Linked DNA regions of Diceros bicornis minor. The protein of the gene in region 1 interacts with the protein of each later gene in a biochemical or structural test. Links are inferred from orthologs where the notes say so. Each region holds a gene or a part of one and is shown in the gene's direction. Other genes may lie near its edges. The genes, in order: CD2, CD58 and CD2BP2.

What was found.
Region 2: the proteins of CD2 (region 1) and CD58 form a complex in vitro, tested with the Homo sapiens proteins (3 studies listed by BioGRID and IntAct, with this or other methods). The link is inferred for Diceros bicornis minor from reciprocal best matches to the Homo sapiens genes CD2 and CD58.
Region 3: the proteins of CD2 (region 1) and CD2BP2 interact in a biophysical measurement, tested with the Homo sapiens proteins (6 studies listed by BioGRID and IntAct, with this or other methods). The link is inferred for Diceros bicornis minor from reciprocal best matches to the Homo sapiens genes CD2 and CD2BP2.

What each region holds. Positions count from the first base shown.
Region 1 is NC_080743.1:49,135,829-49,142,997, forward strand, and holds the start of CD2 (T-cell surface antigen CD2), read left to right. Parts: upstream 1-4,156; 5' UTR 4,157-4,216; coding exon 4,217-4,277; intron 4,278-4,419; coding exon 4,420-4,725; intron 4,726-7,169. UniProt on the Homo sapiens protein: CD2 interacts with lymphocyte function-associated antigen CD58 (LFA-3) and CD48/BCM1 to mediate adhesion between T-cells and other cell types. CD2 is implicated in the triggering of T-cells, the cytoplasmic domain is implicated in the signaling function.
Region 2 is NC_080743.1:48,969,227-48,977,133, reverse strand, and holds the start of CD58 (lymphocyte function-associated antigen 3), read left to right. Parts: upstream 1-4,814; 5' UTR 4,815-4,853; coding exon 4,854-4,938; intron 4,939-7,907. UniProt on the Homo sapiens protein: Ligand of the T-lymphocyte CD2 glycoprotein.
Region 3 is NC_080765.1:21,531,179-21,539,264, forward strand, and holds CD2BP2 (CD2 antigen cytoplasmic tail-binding protein 2), read left to right. Parts: upstream 1-5,043; 5' UTR 5,044-5,335; intron 5,336-5,630; exon of another isoform or gene 5,631-5,781; intron 5,782-5,867; 5' UTR 5,868-5,893; coding exon 5,894-5,971; intron 5,972-6,198; coding exon 6,199-6,334; intron 6,335-6,455; coding exon 6,456-6,613; intron 6,614-6,719; coding exon 6,720-7,155; intron 7,156-7,236; coding exon 7,237-7,343; intron 7,344-7,430; coding exon 7,431-7,541; 3' UTR 7,542-7,679; downstream 7,680-8,086. Other genes in the region: TBC1D10B (TBC1 domain family member 10B), read left to right, coding at 654-768, 893-958, 1,159-1,348, 1,682-1,836, 1,925-2,611. UniProt on the Homo sapiens protein: Involved in pre-mRNA splicing as component of the U5 snRNP complex that is involved in spliceosome assembly.

The sequences.
Region 1 (7,169 bases):
GCATACTCAGTTTTTAGTATGATGTGCTACACACACACTTGGCTCCCTCCACATTTCTCACTTGAGCTTGTTGGAAGGTGTAAGGAGGGCACAGTGGAGGCACCAGAGAGGAGATGGATGTTACGTAGGAAAGAGAGACTGGACTTAGTGATTCTTAAGCCGAGGGTGCTCGCAAGGTGTAGGAGGCAAAGATGACCCTGACCCTCAGTAGGAAGCAGACGATGTCCCAGAGTTTGGAGCACGGGTCCTAGAGGCTGGAGATTAGGTTGCTGACTTGGATGAAGGGAGTAGGCACACCCCAGAACTTCCCTGGGCTCAGGACTCTCAACTGAAATGTGGAGAGGAGACCAGATCGCTTCCTGAGTTTCTTTCTGCTCTAAAGTCCCACAATTCAAGACATTCAGTTGGGTGTGAACTGCCACAGTGTTAACACAACCCAATCCTCGCTCATGCTTTATGTGGATACGGAGAGCAGGAGGTGGGAGTCAGGGCTGAAGGTGTTTCACTAGTCAGGGAGTAGGAGTTGGTCCTAAAGCAAGGCTTCTGAGAATCTTGTCTTCTTCTCCCCCTCCTCTGCTTCTTACTTTCTTCCCTTTAGTCTATTTCCCCAAGAGTGTTAGTTTGGGTAAGAAAAAGTCAATTACGATAGAGCCAGAGACAACCCCTAGACTGCAATGTGGATGGTGAGGGAGAAACCGGAGTGAGTCATCCACCGGATTTTCCCCGGAACCTCAACACATGCGGGCAGAGGCTGCACCCACCCTCAGTCCGGGGAGCTTTTGCCTAAGTGGGAGGCCCACTTAGAATCAAAAAGAAATCAATTGGAAAGCAATACATGCTCAATTTAAAAATATTAGAATAGCAACAACAACCAAAGACAATAGAACGATAGCCATTATCCCACCACGCCAAGACCCTGGTGGACATCCTTCCAAGAGATGCACACCCAACACGCACTTTTGGAGAAACAAAAGCAGTCCTGTACTGTTTATTGTGACCTTTTTTTCCATATTCAGTTTGTCATATCATGATTTACTTAACCAATTTCCTCCTCTTGTACATTTAAATTGTTCCCAATTTTAACTTATAAAAAAGACTACAGTATATAAACTTATAGCCAAGTCTTATAAGTCCCTTATTATTTCCTTAGGATAAAATCATTGTTGTGGACTTGTTAGGTCAAAATATAAATATTTTTGATGCTTCTGATTCACACTGACAAATTGTCCATCAGAAACTCTACACCTATTTGCTTTTCTACTGGCTGTATGCAAGAATGTCTGTTTTCACCACCATTAACACCGTATATTTTCATTTTTTAAATGAAAGTTGAAAAATACATGTATGTTAAAATTTACATTTCTTTCTTTGTTAATAAATTGACTGTGTTTTCATAGGCTTGTTGTTTAACTGTATCTCTTCTTTTATAAATTGTCCCTTTTACGACCTTGACCCATTTTAATATCAAGGGACGTATCTTTTCTTTCTATGTTTACAAGAAAAATTTAATTTTAAGGATATTAATCTTTGTCATATATCTTGTAAATAATGTGCCCCTTTGCACACTCTGTCTTTTAATTTTTTTTTTTTTTTGGATTTTTACATAGAAGAGTTTTAAATTTTACATAGATCCATCGATCTCTTTCTTTTTGCGATTTCTGCCCTTGAAGCCGTGCTCATCACTCAGAATTGAATGAGATGTGAGAGGAGCAGAATTAATGTTTCAAAAAGAAGAACAGAGAGCTGCTCTCCACCTGATAGGAAAAGCTTGCGGGAAAGTGGGAAGAAGAGGGAGAAACTTCCCTTAAAAGCTGAGGCAGGTTACATGATGGTCTTCACCACATCACCTGCACCAGGCCTTGCGAGCCTGGGTCGGACAGTTGGCTAGTGAGTTAGCCACTTACAAGCAGGGAAACTAGATGCTAACTGTTTGTCAGGATCTGCATATACTTAAGCGTTCCTTGTTTTAAAAAAACACAAAAACCTTTCATTATAAAGATAATGTGTTCCTTACCAAAATTTCTAACTTCACAGAAGTTGATAAAATAAAAAGTGAAAGTTTCCTTTCAGTTTTCTCGAAGTCTAAGTTCTGAAAGGAGAGCACTGTTAAAGTTCGGCAAGAATCCTTCCAGACGTTTTTCTACACATGCACTAATAATATAATGTAATGTAATGTAATGTAATGTAATATAATATAATATAATATGACATAATATAATGTAATATTATTATATTCTTACTCTTGAGTCTGCTTCATTCTATTTTAACTGTTATACAATATTTCATAATATGAATATACCATAATTTTAGTTGTTTGCAAATTTTTATTACAAAAAAATGCTACAACAAATGTCCTTGAACAGAATTTTTGCTAATTTATGCAAATATTTGCATAAAATAAATTTCTGAAAATAAAATTAATAGATCAAAAATATATATATTTTAAAGTTTGGTGGAAATGGCCAAATTCTTCCCCCCCAGAGGTCTGGAGTTACACTCATACTGTATGAAGGTGCCTGTTTCTTCCTATATTCTTGTCAATAATGTAAATTATTATCTTTTCTAATTTTGCCAATCTGATGGTGAAAATGGTATTTTATGGCTGTAATATATATATTTTTGGTGACATTAGAGGTCTTCTCATATGTTTACTGATACTTCTTCTATAGAGTATTTCTTTTATAAACTGCTCATTTATATCCTTTGCCCATTTTAAAAACTGAGTTTTCTTTTTCTTATTCATTTACAGGAATACTTTATATATCTTGAATATTAGTAATTTTTCAGGTATACTTCAAATATTTTCTGTCATATCTTTTCATTTTGTTCATTATCTCTTTGCCTATACATAAATGTTACATTTTTATGTACTCAATTGTGTCCATCTTTTCTTTCTTACTTTTGGATCATATTGTATATGTAGGTAGGCCTTCTGTACTCAAAGATATGAAAATATCTTTCTATATTGTTTTTTAGCACTATTATAGATTTTTTAACATTTAAAAATTTAATCCAACCGTAGTTTATTTTTATGGATGATATGATTTAGGGATTTCTCACACAATCATAATGCAAATATTCGGGCTTCCTTTTACCCAATGGTTGAGATCCATTGCTTTGACTTAATTTCATTTCCTGGGCAACTTCCTGAGAGAGAATATCCATATTTGTACCTAAAGTTGAAACAGAAAACAAGCACCGTTTTTAAGATTTTTACTCTATCCTTAAGAATCATAAAACTGGAAATCTACTTTGGAAATCTGTCCTTGAGTGTCCCTTTTTTCTGTGACTGGATCTCTCTGTGCATCTTTTTCTGTGTGTGTGCATCAATACATCACTCTGTTTCTCTCCCCGTATCACGAATTTCTTTTCTCTTTCTCTCCCAGTTCTCTCGCACTTCGGTTTTTCTCCTTATTGCTTCTTTCCTTAACCATCTATCGTGTTAACCATCTTAAATGTTTTTTGAATGATTTGTTCTGGTTGTTTAATAGTATTTCATAGTCTTTACGCATTTTTGTTTGCTCTGGAACAAGTTTTTATTTACCTAACTGTGAATTTCAATAGAGTTGTAAAATGTATGCTAAACATAAGATTTGGAGATTTCAAGTATTTACAGCTGACAATTTATATTTCTTTTTATCATAAAAACAATTTTAGAATATTAAAAACACCTTTTGAGATAGAGAAAAAATCCATTTTCATAATTATTTCATATGTATACATTTTTCAATATTTGTAATCATAGGATAACTGTTTGTATTCTGCGATTCACTCATGAATGTTTACCTATATTTCTCTGTGGTCTTGTTAGAGGCATTATAGCTGAATGGATATAAGATGGGCTGTATGGTTGAATCTGGCTCCTTGTTAACCGTAGGGTGATCCCAAGTGATTTACTTAGCCTCTCAGTTTCTCATCTCTTCGGTGGGGATAACAAAACCCACCCAAGTTTGTTGTGAGGATTAAAACGTGATAAGAAAACACACACTCATAAATATATCTGCGTTGGCAAAGGTGCACATCAGCAGGATCATTTTGCTGAGTGTGTGTGTGTGTGTGTGTGTGCGCGCGCACGTGTGTGTGCTTTCTATGCTACCATAAAAGAAGCAAAAAAAAGAGGCACGTGGTTAAGCTGTCAGGGGGTGGATTCCGCCAGTCTTATTTCAATTCCTTTTGCAAGAAGAGCTCAGAATCACCAAGGAAACTAACCCCAAAGATGAACCTCACATGTAAAATCCTAGCCAGCTTCCTTTTGATTTGCTTCTTCTCCTCCAAAGGTAAGTTGGTGTGTGGGCCTCCATTGCTACCCTTAGAAGCTTCTTTGGAGACCCTGAAGTGAGCATAAGAGTCAAGGAAGTCACAGCCCAGCTTTCCCTGGCAGTGAGTCTCAAGACCTCATAACTGTCTTGCTTTTTATAGGTGCAGTCTCTGGAAAGAATATCATCATCTGGGGTGCTCTGGATCATGATATCAACCTGGACATTCCTGATTTTCCAAGGAATAATGCTATAGATGATATACTATGGAAAAAAGGCAAAACCAAGATTGCGCAACGCAAATACGACAGGACATTTTACCAGAATAATGAAACATATGAGATATTTAAAAATGGAACTCTGAAAATTAAACACCTGGAGAGCATTCATAACGATACCTACCAGGTACTCATATATGATACAAAAGGAAAATATGTGTTGGACAAAACATTTGATTTGAGGATTCTAGGTAAGTCTTTGTTCTCTAAATTTCTCCATCTCAGTATGGGTGCTATTTAGCAGGTTGGGAAATAGCATTTACGGAATGTCCCCAGCCCTGACCTCAGCCTCACGGGAGTCCTAAAGGAAAATGAATGCATCCCTCCTGCCTCAGTGGAGGCGCCAGTCCTGTAGGAGAGATGGAATCCACACATGCGGAAATACACAGTTGATAGATCCTCAAGTCTATCTACCTAAACCTCTCTCTCCAGTGGTTACGGGGTTATGGGGCTGAGTGAAAAACCTGGATTATGACGGCATTAATCAGGAGGAGGGGAACAGGTGGGCAGAAGATAAAGATGGCCATTCCAGGTGGATGATGAAGGGGCGAGCTAGAAGTGGGCCAGGGAAGGGGTGGCTGACTGGAGAGCGGTGGGTCTTCAATCTAGAGAGACAATTTCAAGCCAGGATGCCCTGAAGGAGTAGTTATATGGCAGGAAAGGCTGGAAATAATGAATTTAAGCATGAACAGGCTTTGTTTCTGATCTGCTCAACATCAGAGTGATAAAAGGTGAAAGATGATTTTCGCTGATATTTGTAGAAAATACGCAAGGTGTGGCTTTGTACACCTATGAATGTACCAGGAAGGCAAGAGTGGATATTGAAGATGGAGGCAAGAAGACTAGCCAGGAAGTTCTGCTATAGTCCGAGTGAAGTGGGGAGGGGCTGGTTCATGATTCTTAACCCTGGTTGCATGTTAGAATCAACTGAGATGCTATTAAAAGTTACCGGCGCCCAGGTCCCATTCCAGACCAATTGAATCAGAATTTTTAGCGTGGGACCTGGGCACCAGTAGGTTTTAAAGTTCCCCAGGTGATTCTAATGAGCAACCAAAGCTGGTAATCACTGGCTTAGTCGAAAGGGTGCCTGTAAAATGAGGAAGAGTGAATATTCTGAGGGTCATATGTGGAGAAGGGACATTCAAGATGGCTTGGGAGCAGGAGAGAGGAAAGAGAAAGTGGAACTGAAAGGACTTGGAAGTTACAAGTCCAGGAGACAATGGCAGTGGATGATAAGAAGTGAGAAGAGGAAGCTGCACTAGGTTTGTAGAGAAAGAAGGAAGCCCAGCGTGAGCACAAGCCAGAGACTCAGTGAGCAAATAAACATGTCTGTGCTTCACACAGGAAATGTTGCCGGAGGCAGGGCCCCCTCCCACCTAGTTCTCAGCACGCGGACCTGGCAGCAGCCCCTCTCCAACAATCCCAGACATTGTTAGCTCCCTTGCAGATGATAACTTTCCATACCCTAACCTGCAACCTTGAAGGGAGAGTACCTTCCACAAATGGGGTGGGGCTGAGAATGGAGCCAGAAGAGTCCTCTGATTATGGGCTCTGGGCCCCACAGCTCTCAGGACTCCTGCCAACGTGGGCTCGAGTGCTGTGTTTTGAACATGAGCCTCATGTTTGTGTCTCCTTTAGTGTGGTAGTAAGGATAATGGGTACCAGCTAGAGGTCAGAAGCTTTGCTCACATGATCTTATTCAAGGCTCCCAACGATCCTGAGAGGTAGTTGTTATTATCCCCTTATTATCTATAAGGAAATTATCTCTAAGGAAACTCAAGCGACCTGTCCAAAGTCTCACCATTTGACAGGAGCAAAGTCAGAACCCAAGTCCAGGGCTTCTGTTAGCAAGGATGATGACTTCCCCCTCCCCCCAAAAAAGCTTTATTGAGATACAACTCACATACCATAAAATTCACCCATTTAAAATGTACAATTCAATGGCTTTTAGTATATTCACAGAGTTGTGCAACCATCACCACAATCAATTTTAGAACATTTTCAGCACCCCCAAAATAAACCCCACACTCGTTGGCCAAAAGACAGAGATCTTTCCATGACATCACAGCCACCTAGCTCTGTGTGTGTGTGTGTGTGTGTGTGTGTGTGTGTATGTCAGTGTCACAAAGCATCGTATCTCAATTTGCGGTCCGCCATTACTTGCCACACGGCCTTGGGCAAATTCCCTATCTGCTCTGAGGTTGATTTTCATAATAATAACTCCATGGGATATTCAGCAAGACAGGGCTTCAAGGAGACAACTAAGGAAAGGTGGCCTGCAGCTCCTGGGTCACAATACCTGTTCGCTCAGTGATAATGCCCTCCCCCATCTCCTTGTTTTTCCAAGCCTTTCACGGCTTCAGTCTTGATACCCACATCTCCCTTTTTTGTTTGTTTGTTTATTGCAGTAACATTGGTTTATAACATTGTATAAATTTCAGGTGTACATCATTATACTTATATTTCTGCATAGATTACATCATGTTCACCACCCATATACCAATTACAACCCATCACCACACACATGTGCCGAATTATCCCTTTCGCCCTCCTCCCTCCCCCCTTCCCCTCTGGTAACCACCAACCCAATCTCTGTCTCTAAGTGTTTGTTTCTTGTTGTTATTATCTACTACTT
Region 2 (7,907 bases), about 170 kb from region 1:
CCAGGCGTTCTGGAACTAAGTCTCACTGGAGAGATTGCTGCAAAACTCTGTTCTGATGCAGAACAGACTGCGGGGGAGGCTGTGGGGTTCCCCAGGCCGTGTGGGCGCTGCTCCTTGTCGGCGTCTGCAGGTGTGCAGGTGGCCTCGGTGCTCAGCAGATGGTTGTGCACCACAGCTGAGGGGAAGCAAGGCGATTGCTCAGCCGTTTGTTGATAGGTGTACGTACTCTCATGAGACGGTGTGGTGGCACCAACCTTAGTCCCGCTGTTGCCATGCTCATTCTCATTTATTATGCTGCAACAGTGCTTTAGAGGTACAGAATCAGCCAGCTTGGTGGTGAGGAGAGAAGGCAGTCTTTTGCCCCATTTCTTCATTTCTGGGGTTTGGACTTTCAGTGGGAAATTGCTGACGCCTAATTGATGGACTGAGTCAATGAGGGAAGATGACTTACTTCCTCTGTCTGAATGGAAAGATGCCGGAGGGCTGGCTGGGACTGGGATGTGTAACTAAGATTTGAGTTTGAAGCTATAGAAAAGTAGGTACTGCACATAATTAAATATGTGAAGAATTTGTGGGAAATTTGAAAGGAAAAAAGAAACCGAAGCCAGTATTTTAATAATTGCTTTTTCTGTTGGGCTGGGGGTTACCGTCCTAGGGGGAGCTTTTCCAACTTTCAATGAAAATCCCCAGGACCTTTCTTTGGCCATTTCTATGGAAATGTGGTGTCAGATGAATGGTAATGGTGCCGTCTGGTGGCTGCAAGACCTCATCGCAATCGCCTCCCGGAGCTTTAGTACTCTGAGACAAGGAGCGGAAAACTGCTGACTGCTCTCTTGACTTATCGACATCTACCATGTTGCATTAATGAAAAACTACACTGTGCGAGGCCCATTCCAGGACATGGATATGACCACACCCTCTTTCACCAGGGTGTTTCTGTAGCAAGTTTTCATATTCTTTACAAATAATGGTTTCTCTGCGTTACTTGTTGGAGAGAAAAAAGAGATGGGGTAAGAAAACTACCCATGCATGATGTAGAGAGCTGTTGATTTGTTTTTGTTGGTTTTTTTTAAGGAAAACTATTTGTAAGATGTTGCACTAAAATGTTTTATATACACTTCAGAGACCTGTAGTAAATTATGTTGAAAATATGGCTGTTCACATTTACTGGAGTCCAGTGTCTTCCTTTCTCCTTACGTCATCAGCCACTCTCCTCGGGGGAACTGTGCCCCGGAGGCCTGGAGTTCTGCCCCTGATATTGGCCTGCTGGGCTCAAGGTTCATGAGTTGCAGCCTTTATTATCATGCCCCACCCCCAGCCTAAATGGTGCCTTTGTACAAATAATAAAAAACATCCCTTACTCAAGACACTTTACTGCCATCTGCTGAAAATGTATCATAATAAATGAACACACCTACCCTGACCGTTAACGCATTGCTGCCCCTCAAATTATGTAACACACAACCCACCTGGAGGCCTGATAGGCAGCTTCAGAAGGTAGAGGTTATAACCTCTAGCTTTTTGGGGGAGGGGGCTGGGCAGGATGGGATGAGAGGAGACGGATGAAGAAGGAGAGCAGGAACATAGGACAACTTTCTCCTTGGTCTCGGCAGGAAGACCACACCATCTTTCTCAAACTATGTAGTATTGCCCCCACCCTGTGAAATATTCGGCAAGTATTTTCCAGAATGAAGGAAAAAGCAGGACCTGTGCATTCCTATTCTGTGAGGCCGCACAACTCAAACGCTGGCATGTTTTGGAGGAGTTCACTACGCCGGCAAAGTGAGAAGAATGATAGAATAATTAAAGCCCTAGCAGTGAGACATCATTAGTCAGAACCCATCTGTAATTCCTTAAAATTCACAGAAGAATATGCAAAGGGAACTAGATAGAGGGTAAAAAGCAGAGGGAGGTGCTCCCTTTTCTTTTGCTTCCTTTTTAAAACTCAAGCCTTTCAAAGGCTTGACTGTGTGTTTTCTTCTGCTTATCAGCCCCATTTGCTGCATTCTTCTTGCAGCTGCTGGTTTGGCCAAGGGTTGATATGACTGTTTATCCCTTGGGTACCCAGAATGGTAGCATGTTAAGTCTTATGTATTATTTTTGCCTAATTTTTTCCAAATGCTTTCTTTCTGCCAGGGAACATTCAAAAAAGGGAAATAGAGTATTATGGAATAAGATTACCCTTCTATGCCCTTGGAGCAAATCTGCCCGGTGTTGATATAAATGAAGTGAATGTCCACTTCCACATGAGGCAAGGATAATTTTCATGTATGCAGGATTAGGAGCAATGTGTTGCTCTCTCTGTGCTGGGATTCCTAAGCTTCCTGGAGGTGATTCCAAGGATGGCAAGAAGTAGACCAAGAGAGCAGACACTGACACACCCGGAAGAGTGGCAGCCCCAGACCACATGAGCAGGCTGACTGAGCCCTTCCTTCTTATCTGCCAGTCCAGGATTCTCTACAGTGACAAGCAGATGAAAGGGGCCCTCTCAATACCGGTCACAGGATGAAAAACAGGTCCAGCTCTCCTTTTGGTGGCAAGTTCTCAGTATATGAAAGGAAACTTTCAGCCGTCTGCCTAACGCATTGCAGGTCTAGCCTTTCTGAGCCACTTTTGATTCATGAAGTCTGCTAGACCAGGCATATAAGCATGTCTAAAAATGCCTGATGGAAGCACAGCTTTTTTTTTTTTTTTTTTTTGTGAGGAAGATCAGCCCTGAGCTAACATCCATGCTAATCCTCCTCTTTTTGCTGAGGAAAACCGGCTCTGAGCTAACATCTATTGCCAATCCTCCTCGTTTTTTTTTCCCCCAAAGCCCCAGTAGATAGTTGTACGTCGTAGTTGCACATCCTTCTAGTTGCTGTATGCCTTCTAGTTGCTGTATGTGGGACGCAGCCTCAGCATGGCCGGAGCACGGTGCGTCGGTGCGCGCCCGGGATCTGAACCTGGGCCGCCAGTAGCGGAGCGCGCGCACTTAACTGCTAAGCCACGGGGCCGGCCCCACGGCATTTTTCTTAATAAGAACGCTGCCACTGCTTGCTGGTCAGAGAAGCATCCAGGCAAGAAAGACCTAATGAACCATTCCTCACCCAATGCCTGGGGACCATGAACTGGGTGGTACTTCCCAGTCACAGGGGACTGGGCAGTCCTCTCCTCAGCCCTGCTCTGGACCGGGTTGACAGCTGCTGTCGGCCAGTCCAGACAGCAGCATGGCTGCCGACCCAAAAGTTGCATCCTGCTAGTGTGCAAAAGGTAAGAGTGGTGCTTTGGACTTGGCCTTGGTTGGACTCCCAGTTCTGCCTCTTACTGTGTGTCCTTGGGCAAGTCATTTACCTTCTCTGAGCCTAAGTTTCCTCATCTGTAAAAATTGGGACAATAAGATTAAATTAATCCAGTTAATGCACTTAACGCAGGGCCTGGCTCATAGTAAGTGCTCGACAGATATTTGCTGTTATGTCACTTCCCAGTTCAAAACCGTTCAGGGGCTCCCAGTGTCTAAAGATCTGACCCCATCCATCCTTCCTTTCCAAGTTGACCGGAGTTCCTACCAGCCCAGGGCAGAGGAGAAACTTGATTTTCTCACATTTTGCCCTACACACTGCACCTGCCTGTGTTCCCAATATCTGTAGATGACAGGGAATGTCTTAAGGTAGCGGGCTTCATGGTACAGGACATTGGTCCCAGAAATTTCACTGAGATTCCTTTTAAGATTTTATGGCCAATTTAAGAAATAACTCATGAATTCTTACAGCATGGTTCAAATGTCTTGAGTGGTCGGGGTGATGGAGATGACAGCAACAATAAAGCACATTTCCACTTGGTTTCATGCTGGTGTTTATTAGGATAGCAGGGAGTCCTGCTCATTGGAAGACAGTCACGTGATAACTAAGTTTCCTTAAGCACACAGCTGGGCAGGGGCAATTCTGGTGCTTCTCTCTGAAAGAGGCAGACAGGGAGGCTGCTGTGAGTGAAGAGCTGGTTCTGGGAGCAATTTGGTCTGGGATCCCATGGATTTGTGGGAAGGGCAAGCCAATCAAGAAGACTAACCTCTAGGATGGAGAGTTCCAAGTGTCTGCTGCAGCTTGGGCAGAGAGATCTTGGGAGGCAAAAAACAGTGAGGGAGCGAACAGACTTGACTCCTCAGCCTGAGGGAAAGTCCACAGTTGAGAGGGAAGAAAAGGAAAACAGAAAGGAAACCGAGATGGGAGAAATCACAGGCTGAAAATTCCAGCTCCGGGTTGAGGGAGGGGCGGGGGCGGGTGAGGCTTAAGGAAAAGCGGGCATGCACTCGAATGAGGAAAGACAAGCGCTTGAGGGGCGCCGATTACCCCAGGTAATCCCACACATTCTAGCAGTTGTCTAAAACGTCCCGTTTCCCGTCGTTTTAATACTTGAGGAAAGAGTGGTTCAAAGAGACTGTCTAGTCCAGGGTCCCCATGGCTGAAAAGGCACGCTCCGCGCCGCTGCGGCTGCTGGAAAGCGCTGGAGGAATAAAGGGCTTCGGAGGCTCCGTGGAACAGTGCGGGAGGAACTAAGAGAAACGAGGTTTTAAAAACGCAAGCACTTTTCAAGGAGAGCCCCACCGAGCACACAGGGGGGCGGCGGGGTGACAGGAGGGACCGGGCAGGGGGACAGCCGGCATTTTGGGGAGAAAGAGCACGAAGACGCGGGACCAGCGGCGTCCCGGGGAAAGAGGAAGGGCCGGGGCGGGTGCGGGGCGGGACTGGCCGCTGAGGGGCGGACCAAGGCGGCCGTGGGCGCAGGGCGGGGCGGGCGCCGGGCCCACACTCCGCGGCGGGCGAGGCCAGTGCCCGGAACTGCGGCTGCGCCAGGCGGGGGCCCCGGGCGCAGAGATGGCCCGACACGCGATGGCCGCAGGGAGCGCCCCGGGGTGGGCCGCGGGGGTCCTCGCCGTGGTCTGCCTGGTCTTCTGTTTCGGTGAGTGGAGGCCTTCCCCGGGCCCCCCGCAGGGACGGGCAGCGCTGGGTGCGACCGTGACCCCAGGGCTCCGGGGCCGCGTGGGCCGGCTGGGCTGAAGGCGATTGCAAGTTGGGTTGGGTGGCAGTAGAAACGCAGCCAGCGGGCCCTTGGGGAGAGAAAGTTGTCATTTCCTCAGCAAGTCTCCCGTGGGCAGTCGAGAAGAAACTTTGAGCCCAGGCGCTTGAATCCTGTTTGGGTGGAAGAGGCACGGGGCTCCAGCTCGTTCACCTCTCCGGCGCTGTTTTCTCTCTCTGGGGATCCCTGCTAACCCCCCTCCCCACCCCGATCCCCGCTCACCCCCCACCCAGTGTTCTCCGGAAGGGTGTGCCTCTTCTCTGAGACTCAAGTGACTGCTAAGTTACTTGTCGGGCCCCCGGCGGGCGGGCCTTATCACTGCCTCCCGGGCCTGGGAACTCGCCCGGCACGGGGGCTGGGGACCGGTTCTCGCCGCCCGAAGGATGCGGCTGGTCGCCAGCACTCCGCCCTCCCCCGCCGGGAGTGCCAGTCCCAAAGCCAGGGATTTCCACCCGCGCGCGGGAGGGGGAGAGGAGAGGGAGAGAAGGGTCTAGAGTCGGTGATGGCCTCACTTGGGATTCCTCAGTAGTGCGGCCGGTGCTCCTTGCCCCTCCCTTCAAAACGCAAAAGAACTAACTTGTGTGTCTAGAACTGCGGCCATCCCTTTCACAGTTCTTCAGCTAAATCGTCACAACAGCCCCATGAAATATAGGTATCTTAGTCTCCATTTTTACCTCCTTACCCGCATAAGCCCCTCCACACACAGGCCCCTAGTTAAGTCATAGCCAAACCCCTGGGACATAGCAATAACCCCGTTAACTGGTTCTCCTTTCTGTGCGGGTTTCCCATTGGGCCCCTTTTTGATCGGGTGCTACCAGATCCATCTTCCCTCTCCATGCTGCATTCAGCGTTTATTGAGTGCCTATGGGGTACATACATCTATGGAGCACAGCCTGGGGGGAGGAGTTGAGATATGCTCAAAAATACCTCCCTTGTAATGCCCAGGAGTAAGTGTTGTAAGAGGGCTTAAACGAAGTGCTAGGGGCCTGCAGAGGGAAGAAAGCAATACCTTTGGATGAAATCAAATATCTTGTGAAGCAAAGACTTTACAGAAGGAAGGGTATTTGAACCCAGCCTCCGAGGGTATGTGGATGTGCCATGACATGGGAAAAGATTCCAAGAGGAGGAGACCAGGTCAGAAAGACAGGGGAGCAACAGTGTGCAGGGTGAATCTGGGCAGTAGGGAGTCCTTCGGTGTCACTGAAGGGTAATGTGCCCACGGGAACTTGAGGCCCCGTGGCGGAGCCCTGAATGTCCCCTTTGGGAGTTTGGATTCTCTTCTATAGGCAAAGGAGAGCTGTTTCTGGGCCTGACAGGATCAGAGCCATGCATTAGGAAGGGTAATCTGGCAGCAGTGAAGAGGGAGAGGAATTGGAAGCAGAGAGGTCAGGGCAGACTACCATCACAGGGCCCAAAGAGCTGTGAGGCTTTCATGTACCGTTGGCTGTGGGAAAGGAGGAGAGACACATGCAGAGCCTGAATGGATGGGGTCACCCTCCTCCAGATGAGCTGGTCTCCCCCTGGTCCTGGAACGTACCTGTTGTCACTGCTGCCTGTATCTGTGCTCTCTCTTCCCCCGAAAACCCAGTTTAGCCATCCAGCCCTTCCTCCTCCAGGAAGATTGTCTGAACAGTCCCCTCATACTGGTCTCTCCCACCTGTTCATGTATTTATTCAGAAGTCATTTCATTCAGCAAGCATGAATATCACCTGCTCTGAATAGGCCTTGCACTAAGGACAAGGCTGAATGAATGGCGCAGGCCTGTAGAAGGTGAGCCCTTTGGGGGCCGAGCGTGCTTCACTAGGAAGCTGCCTGACACCGTGATAAGCAGCATCAGCTCAAGTCAGATGCCTGACTTCAGACCCTGGCCCTGCCCCTCGCCTGGGTTACGAACTTCTATAAATTACTTAACTTCTGTGTGCCTCGGTATCTTTGCCTTTGAAGAGAGAGTATACCACTCACATGAAAGGATAAAATAGTATCTACTTCATGGAATGATTGTGAACATCAGGCATTCAGCAGATACTTACTGAGTGTCAGCTCTGTGTCGGGCACTGTACGAGGGCCTGGGGATACCAGGAACACTCTTCCTGGCCTCTGTGAAGCTTACATTACAGTGGGGGAGAGAGATGGTAAATAAATAAATGAGGAAATATAAAGATGGTGGGTGGTGGTAAAGAAAACATTTACTAATAAAGAGATTAGTAAAGCAGAGGAAAGGTGAGTGGAAGTGGTTCATATTTCTTTTGAATTTTTTAAAAACTTTGGAACATATAAAATCTTTAGAATAGTTGCAAAATAGTACAATGAACACTTACATGCTTTTCTCCTGGAATCACCAGTTATTAACATTTTGTCATATTTGGTTTACTTCTTCCTCTTTATACACACACACTTAAAATTTCTTTTTTTTTTTGCTAAACCATTTGAGAGTTGCAGCCTTTATGAGGCCTTACCCCTAAATATTTCAACTTGTCTCTTCTAAGAATAAGTCTCCCGTAAGCCACAGAGCCATCAGCACAGTCAGGAAATAGAGCATTGTTACAAAACTATTTTCTAACAGAGACCAGAAGCCAATCCCAGATCACACACTGCATTTGGTAGTCCTGCCTCTTAATCTCCTTTCATCTAAAACTGTCGCCAACTTGTTTGTTTTGCTTTGTACTTTTTGACATCGCCACATTTGAAGGGTCTGGACCCGTCGTTTTATAAAATGTCCCTCTGTTTGAATTGTCGGTTTCCTCGTGATTAGATTCTGGGTACTACCTTCTTGGCAGGAATTTTTTACGGGTGTGTTGTGTCCTTCTCAGTGCTTCTCATCAGGGGTGGATGCAGCCCATTTATCCCCTGAC
Region 3 (8,086 bases), on another chromosome or scaffold:
GTGATTAGCCATGGGGAGTGAAGGAGGGCTCTCTGTTTTCTGATGTGGGGCTGAGTGGATGGAATTTCCAGACACAGTGATGGGGCACCCTCAAGGAAGAGGAGCAGGTATAGGGCAGAGATTTTATTCTTTTGGATGCAGAGACAAGAGAAGGGTCTGAGGCACAGCTGGCTTCCCAAGCCTTCACCAGGAACCAGGGCCCATTGGACATGCTGGTGGGGAATTGACGACATCCAGTGAGACAGATAAGGCAGGCCCTGCCCTGGGAGGGCTCCTCTTCTGGGGTGATAAAAGCATTCAGACAGTGCCTGGAGAAGATGACCTTGAAGGTTTATGGGATGGTGGCAGATGAAGGAGGGAGAGAGAACACAGCCTGTCCTAGGGAATGGGTAGGGAGCACGCAGAGTATGCAGGCAAGGGTGGAAGGCTGGAGCCTGGAATGCTTTGACTATGGTCTGAGTCTTTGGCTTAAGCTCGATAGGCAGAACTAGGAAGGTAGATGGAGGTGTGTGGTGCTAAAGCTCTGAGGTTAATCTGGAACTGGATCTAGGAGGGGTCTTGGCTGGGGCTGGGGGGTAGGGTGCAGGTTTACTTTGGGTCAGAGAGCTCCCAACTCCTGTGATTGCCCTCATGGTCTTTTCCAATACCCACAGGCAACAGGACCTGTATCGAATCCTGAAGGCCTACACCATCTACCGGCCTGACGAGGGCTACTGCCAGGCCCAGGCCCCAGTGGCTGCAGTGCTGCTCATGCACATGCCTGCTGAGGTCAGCATATGCTGGTCCTGGTTGGAGAGGGGCTGGGAGGATCTTGGCCTGCAGTGGTGATGGGGGAGCTCTCTGCTCCATTTCTCAGGCCCCATCCATTCCTCCTTGTTCTTGCCCTTTTCAGCAAGCCTTTTGGTGTCTGGTGCAGATCTGCGACAAGTACCTCCCCGGTTACTACAGTGCAGGGCTGGTAAGTGTCTGGAGTCTGGGTGCAACCGGGGCTGTGACTTTTAACCAAGGCTGCAGGGAGGTCCTTGTCCTGCCCCATCCTGTGTCCTTCTGTCCCTCTCCTCTGGGCCTTTCCCGCTGAGGTGAGGATCCTGTACCAGGGCCATTTCTACCCCAAGGGGGCTACAGCAGGCCTCTTTTCATGGCTCATCCCACTTCCAGGAGGCCATTCAGCTAGACGGAGAAATCTTTTTTGCACTATTGCGCCGGGCCTCCCCTCTGGCACATCGGCACCTGCGGCGGCAGCGCATTGACCCCGTGCTCTACATGACAGAATGGTTCATGTGCATCTTCGCCCGCACCCTGCCCTGGGCTTCAGTGCTGCGTGTCTGGGATATGTTCTTCTGTGAAGGTACTTCTGTAGCCATTCAGGCCATGAGGGGGCTAGAGTTTCCATGGTGGCTGCCAGAGGGTGGCCCACTAACACTGTTGGGCCTTGGCTTCACTGTAAGCCAGCTGGGGGCTGGAGAAACTGAGGCTTCGTCTTGGCTCTGCCACCAACCCAGAGCCTGCTCTCCCTCAGGACCCTGAAACCCATGGCAGCTCATTTCCCTTCTTGGGGCCTCAGTTTCCTCATCTGTAAGGTTGGCAGTAGACAGGGATGGGGGCTATCAGTCCCTTCTATGTGGGACGGGCTGGGATCCCACGCCTGATCACATATGCTCTCTTCTTTCTGACCCTGCAGGCGTCAAGATCATCTTCCGGGTGGCCCTGGTGCTGCTGCGGCACACACTGGGCTCGGTGGAGAAGCTGCGCTCCTGCCAAGGCATGTATGAAACCATGGAGCAGCTGCGCAACCTGCCCCAACAGTGCATGCAGGAGGACTTCCTGGTGCATGAGGTAGGTCTTGGCCTTAGCAAACCCCACACCTGCTTCAGCCCATCCCCACCCTCGTCTTCATTCTGGTACTCATTTCTTCTCGGTCTAGGTGACCAACCTCCCGGTGACAGAGGCACTGATTGAGCGAGAGAACGCAGCCCAGCTCAAGAAGTGGCGGGAGACCCGGGGGGAGCTGCAGTATCGACCTTCACGGCGACTGCATGGCTCCCGGGCCATCCACGAGGAGCGCCGGAGGCAGCAGCCACCCCTCGGCCCCTCATCCAGCCTCCTCAGCCTCCCTGGCCTCAAGAGCCGTGGCTCCCGGGCAACTGGAGGGCCCCCCTCCCCACCTCCTCCTGCCCGCAGGGCCAGTGCTGGGCCTGCCCCAGGGCCTGTGGTCACTGCTGAGGGACTGCATCCCTCCCTTCCTTCGCCTACTGGCAACAGCACCCCACTGGGTCCCAGCAAGGAGACCCGGAGGCAGGAGAAGGAGCGGCAGAAACAGGAAAAGGAACGTGAGAAGGAGCGGCAGAAACAGGAGAAAGAGCGGGAGAAGCAGGAGAAGGAGCGGCAGAAGTGGGAAAAAGAGCAGGAGAAGGAGCAGCAGAAGCAGGAGAAGGAGCGGCAGAAGCAGGAGAAGGAGCAGCAGAAGCAGGAGAAGGAGCGGCAGAAGCAGGAGAAGAAGGCCCAAGGCAGGAAGCTTTCGCTGCGTCGAAAGGCAGATGGTCCCCCCGCTCCCCAGGATGGTGGGGACAGGTCCTCGGCATCTGAGGCCCGGCAGGATGCTTACTTTTGACCTCTGCCCTGGGGCTGGACTGCATGGCCCCCCTCTTTTTCCCTCAGCCAAGAGCAGGCCAGTTGTCCCTCTTTCTGAGGAAAGTGGCTTGATTCCCCATCCCCTTGCTAGCTGCTGATCCCTGCACAGCCAGGACAGTTGGAGTGCACGGGGCAGCTGCATTTCCCTGGGGCAGCCGTGAGCAAGTCTGGGGCCCCTCACCTCCAGTTAGGCCCAGCTGGGGTCTCTGTCACTCCTGCCCCAATTCCCTCTGGGGTCCCTTCCCAGGTGCTGTCCTGATCGGCCTTTTGTCACCACAGGGTGACTCTTGGCAATGGGAGTCAGCAGTTTTCAGATTCTTACACTCCAGTTGCTCCCCTTACCCGTGAAGTGGAGCTGGGTTCCTTTCTCCCTTCTTCAGTCCTGCCTGTCGCCCCCACTTCCTGGCTGGGGGCCGAGGCTCTCCTCACTCTACTTCTGGACATCTCTGTGTTGTAATTATGTACAGAGGACCTGGTTGGCCCAGGGTGGGGGTGCTTGCTCTATCTTCTGTCCTTGAGTTCTCCTGCACTCTGGTTTATTTAAGGGGACATGCACTGGAACAGGAAATGTCCCCCACTTCCTACCCACCGCCGTCCTTGCTCTCCTTTCTCTTCACCCACCCTCCTCTGTATTCTCAGGCCTCCCCTGCTTTGTCTCACCAGGACCCCCATCTTTCACCTTATTCCCTTCCAATCGTCCAGCCTCTTATCTGGGTAAGGGGTCTTCCCTTGAGCTCCAGGGGGTAGAATCCAATGTTTACATTCTCTTCTGTCTCTGCTCCCACCCAGTGTGGCGCTTTGAGGAACCAGAAAAGAACCTGCTGTTGTACCTGGGCCTGTCTCCTGCTTTGTTATTTGATGGAGGGGTTTAGAATAAGGACTAGGGAGGGACAGAGCAAGCCAGAATCTGGGTGTCTATTGAAGCAGTTGGCTGGTCTTTGCAGGTGGGTACCTCTTGGCCTTTGATCCATCTCTCAGTCACTCATCAACAAACAGTGGTTGAGCTCCTGCTCCACCTTTGCCTGGGATCTGCTGCCTTCATTGTCACTGGCCTCCTGGAGTCCTCTATGCACTACCTGCAGTGCCCAGATCTCCTTCCAGAAGCGCTCATGCAACTCCTGGAAGCTGGAGGGGGAACTGAGGGTAGCTAGAAAGCCACAGTCCTCTAGGGGTGAGCTGGGCTCTTGGCCAGCAGCCTGGCACAGCTCCTGGTACTGGGCCTCCCGTGTGGGTAGCAGCACAGACAGCCACCTCCAGCTCACTCCAGCCAGCGCCCACAGCCAGGCTCCCAGTTCCTTCTCGTTTTCTGCTGCCAGCTTGTAGGCCCGCCCACCTTCTGTGTCCTCTACCCTGGGAGTCAGCATGGTGAAGTCATAGGATTCTGTGGCTCCACTTGGCAGTTCTCCAACAGGATGAGGCCCAGAGGTGTGCGGTCTGCCTGGTGCTCCAGGTAAAAGAGGTTTCCCCGGAGGATGAACCAGCGGCCCTGGTAGCTGGTATTTTGGGCCCCCCTCTTTAGCAAGATGCTCTTGATCTGGAGCCTGTGCTCTGTACCCACGGAAGAAACTGAGCACAGACTTTTGGTGCAGTTTCATGGTAGTCCAATCTGGGAGGAAACCCTGGGAGCAGGAGAGAGGAGTGGAGGGTCTGTCGCGTTACCCTGGGGACCCCATGCTGCCTTCCTTTGGCTCCAGTGGGCTCTTCCTGGGCACAGCTTTAGCCTAGTGGGATTCAGACTCTGAGTATCCTCAAGAGCTGGAGGTATTGTCCCCAGAGCACTGGGATCCGCTTCTCCCACCTCCCAACCCCAGCTCTGCCCCTTGTGCCAGATAACCTGGGCAGGGGATGCAGGGCTGGGGCCCTGTTTGCTAAGCAGGGGGATTTACTCTGCGGCTTTGGTGCAAGAGAAAGAGGCACTGCTGCCCTTTTCCAGGCCTACCTGAGGTCAGGGCACAAGGGGCTTCTGGCCTGGGTACTGGGCACAGGTGTCACTGCCACCTATCCTGTGATGGCTCTTCCCATCAGAACCAGGAATTCGCCCAGGGGGTAGGTGCGGGGTAAATGACTTCCCCTGGGTCCTAAAGGGAGCTGGTTTCAGCAAGTGCCCCAAGGGCCGTCAGAGGCTTCCAGCCGGGCATCAGGAAAGCCGGGCTTCCCCTTAGGGAGAACAGCAAGGCTGCACTTGGGACTAGGACAGGGTAGACAACGACGCTGAGAGCGGGAAGACAGGATTTCTGATGAGATGGTGAGGGGCGTAGAGACCTTGGCCAGCGCTGGGGGAAACTAGAGCAGTAACCCACTGGCCCTGCTGGGACTTTGCCCTTCCATCGTGACCCGGGGCGCCACTTTAAGTAGAGTGCGTCCCACTTTCACTCCAGAGCCTCTACTGCTGTACTAGGGAATGGAAGCTACTTCCGGCCATTCCTCTCGTCCGATGAGGGTTTAGGCGTTCATACGTCTCCTCTTCTCGCCTCCGTCGCCCCACACGGTTCACGTCACTTCCGGGAGGGAGGTGTCTCCGCCCCCCGCTCATTCCGTACTTCCGCCCGCTCTTCCAGTTAGTCCTCTAACCCGAGTGAAGCCACTTCCGGCTTTCCCTGGCGACTTCCGCAGTTCTCTTCCGGGCGATGTCGGCGGGTGCCCCGGATGTAGCCCTGGTGAAGGCATCTATCCTTTTCTTCCCCCGCCTACCCTGGATCCTTAGGTGAGCGCGCACTGGTGAAACTGTTCGAAACCCCGTGGCTCTGCCGGCTCCCTTATTTGTACACACAGGCCGGGACAGCTGGGAGTCACCCCGCGGAGTTGGGAGTTCGGCATGGGGAGGGGCGGGGCGACCAGGGTGCCAGGTCTTGCGTCCGCCGGGGCCTCGTGGGCTCTGGGGGAGCTGGAGGTGGAGAAGCGGGTGTCAGCCCGCGGAGCCCCGTCGCGCCCAGGGCTGCGGGGGCCGGGAATGAGGGCGTTCACTTAGGGGAGCCTGTCTCTTTTCGTCAAGGGTGGGGGCGTCCATAGGGAGCTTCTGCGCGCGTCCACTTCTCCGTCCCCGCCCCAGCAACTCTTTCTGATGCCAAACCAACTCCTGGGGGCCGCCTCGCTGCCAACTCCCCTTTCGGCCCCCGATTCTGTGCTCCCTCCCCTCTCAAACTGGATCTAGTACGTATATTCGTTGTGCTGGGGGCCCTCTCGCTGTGAGTATCCTTGCCCAGTTCCCTTAATCTGCACCGTTTCCCTCGGCTCAGCTTGGGGACCGCCCCTCTGTCCAGTCATGCCAAAGAGGAAAGTGACCTTCCAAGGCGTCGGAGATGAGGATGATGAAGATGAAATCGGTGTCCCTAAGAAGAAGGTGAGGGGCACAGACTCCTGCGTTCTGGGGAGGAGGTAGGGGAGAAAAAAGAAACGAAGTCAGAAGAGGAAAAACCTGGAGGAACAAAGAAAGGGTAGAAAAAGCTAGCTTTTCGATGTTCTCTGGGAAATGGGCTTGGAGGATTATCATTTTGAGTTCAGATGCTAGAGTATCTTGAGGAATAGCCAGTAACCTGCATCTCTCGACTCGCTGGCTCTTGCTCACAGCTGGTGGACCCTGTGGCTGGGGCAGGGGGTCCTGGGAGCCGCTTCAAAGGCAAACACTCTTTGGACAGTGATGAGGAGGATGATGATGATGAGGGATCCAGCAAATATGACATCCTGGCCTCAGAGGATGTGGAAGGTGAGCTATACCCAAGAGTTGACTTTCTGCTGTAGGAACAAATAGGGGTTTGGGGCGATGTGTGGCAGGGGGCTCCTCTTTTTCGCATGCCTAGCATGAGACACTTGTGTCTTTGGTGCAGGTCAAGAAGCAGCCACACTACCCAGTGAGGGAGGTGTGCGGATTACACCCTTCAACCTGCAGGAGGAGATGGAGGAAGGCCACTTTGATGCTGATGGCAACTACTTCCTGAACCGGGATGCTCAGATCCGAGATAGCTGGCTGGACAACATTGACTGGGTGTGGCCCAGGGACTGGCATGGCTGGGGCCTGGAGGCAGCAAGTGCTGGGCTTCGGCCCTGCTGGCAGCTTTCAGCAAATAACCCTTACTATTTTCATATTACAGGTGAAGATCAGGGAGCGGCCACCTGATCAGCGCCCACTGTCAGACTCGGAGGAAGAGGACAGCCTGGGCCAGACACCAATGAGTGCCCAAGCCCTCCTAGAGGGCCTTTTGGAGCTGCTGTTGCCAAGGGAGACAGTGGCTGGGGCACTGAGGCGTCTAGGGGCCCGAGGAGGAAGCAAAGGGGGCAGCAAGGGGCCTGGGCGGCCCAGTTCCCCCCAGCGCCTGGACCGGCTCTCTGGGTTGGCTGACCAGATGGTGGCCCGGGGCAACCTTGGCGTATATCAGGAAACAAGGGAACGGTTGGCCATGCGGCTGAAGGGATTGGGGTGCCAGACCCAGGGACCTCCTGACCCCACACCCCCACCCTCTCTGGACATGTTTGCTGAGGAAGTGGCAGAGGAAGAGCTGGAGACCCCAACTGCTGCCCAGAGAGGAGGTGAGATTGAAGGGCAGAGGAAGGGTGTTGTGGGCAGGGGCAGAGCACTTGAGGCCCAACTGGCTTTGCCTGTTATTTTAGAAGCAGAGTCGCCTGGCGACGGTCTGGTGGATGTGATGTGGGAGTATAAGTGGGAGAACACAGGGGATGCTGAGCTGTACGGGCCCTTCACCAGCACCCAGATGCAGGTAAACCCCTTTCTACTTCGTTCTGCTGCTTCTCTCCCTCCTCCTACCCCATCAGTTCGTTCCCAGCTCTACTCTCTCTTCTTGCAGACCTGGGTGAATGAAGGCTACTTCCCGGATGGTGTTTATTGCCGGAAGCTGGACCCCCCAGGTGGACAGTTCTACAACTCCAAACGTATTGACTTTGATCTCTACACTTGAGCCTGCTGAGGGCCCAGTTTGGTGGCCCCTTCTTTCCTGGACTCTGAGGAGGATGCCCCAGCTGCCCCAGGCAGTGAGGATATTGGGGGCCACTTTTCAGTTAATTTTCCTTTCCTAATAAAAGTCTTTAGTTGTGTATTAGGGCCTTCGCTGTGCTGATGGCCAAAAGCCAGGACCTTCTCCACAGCCCCTCGCCTCTGTCCTTGAGTGTGTCCTCATGAAGTTCTTTCTTGGGAGTTTCTCTTCCTTTGAACCACTTCGCCGTTGTTTACCACTCCTATGGGCAGAGCCAGGGCTATCAGGTGGCCTGTGGCCTCTCCACCTGGACTCTGCTCACCATCGAAAAATCCTTCAACTTGCACAATGTTGTCCGATATCCTCTGGGGGTTTCTGTTTTGCTGTTCTTAGGGCTTTGGTTTTTAGTACTTCACAGTCTCTTTCCTTGCAGCCAGTACAGGATAGAGCCCCAGAAGTGGAGATTTTAGGCCAGGAAGGGCTGCGACATATGTTGGGGGTAAGCAGGAAGCCTGGTACTCACTGCCACC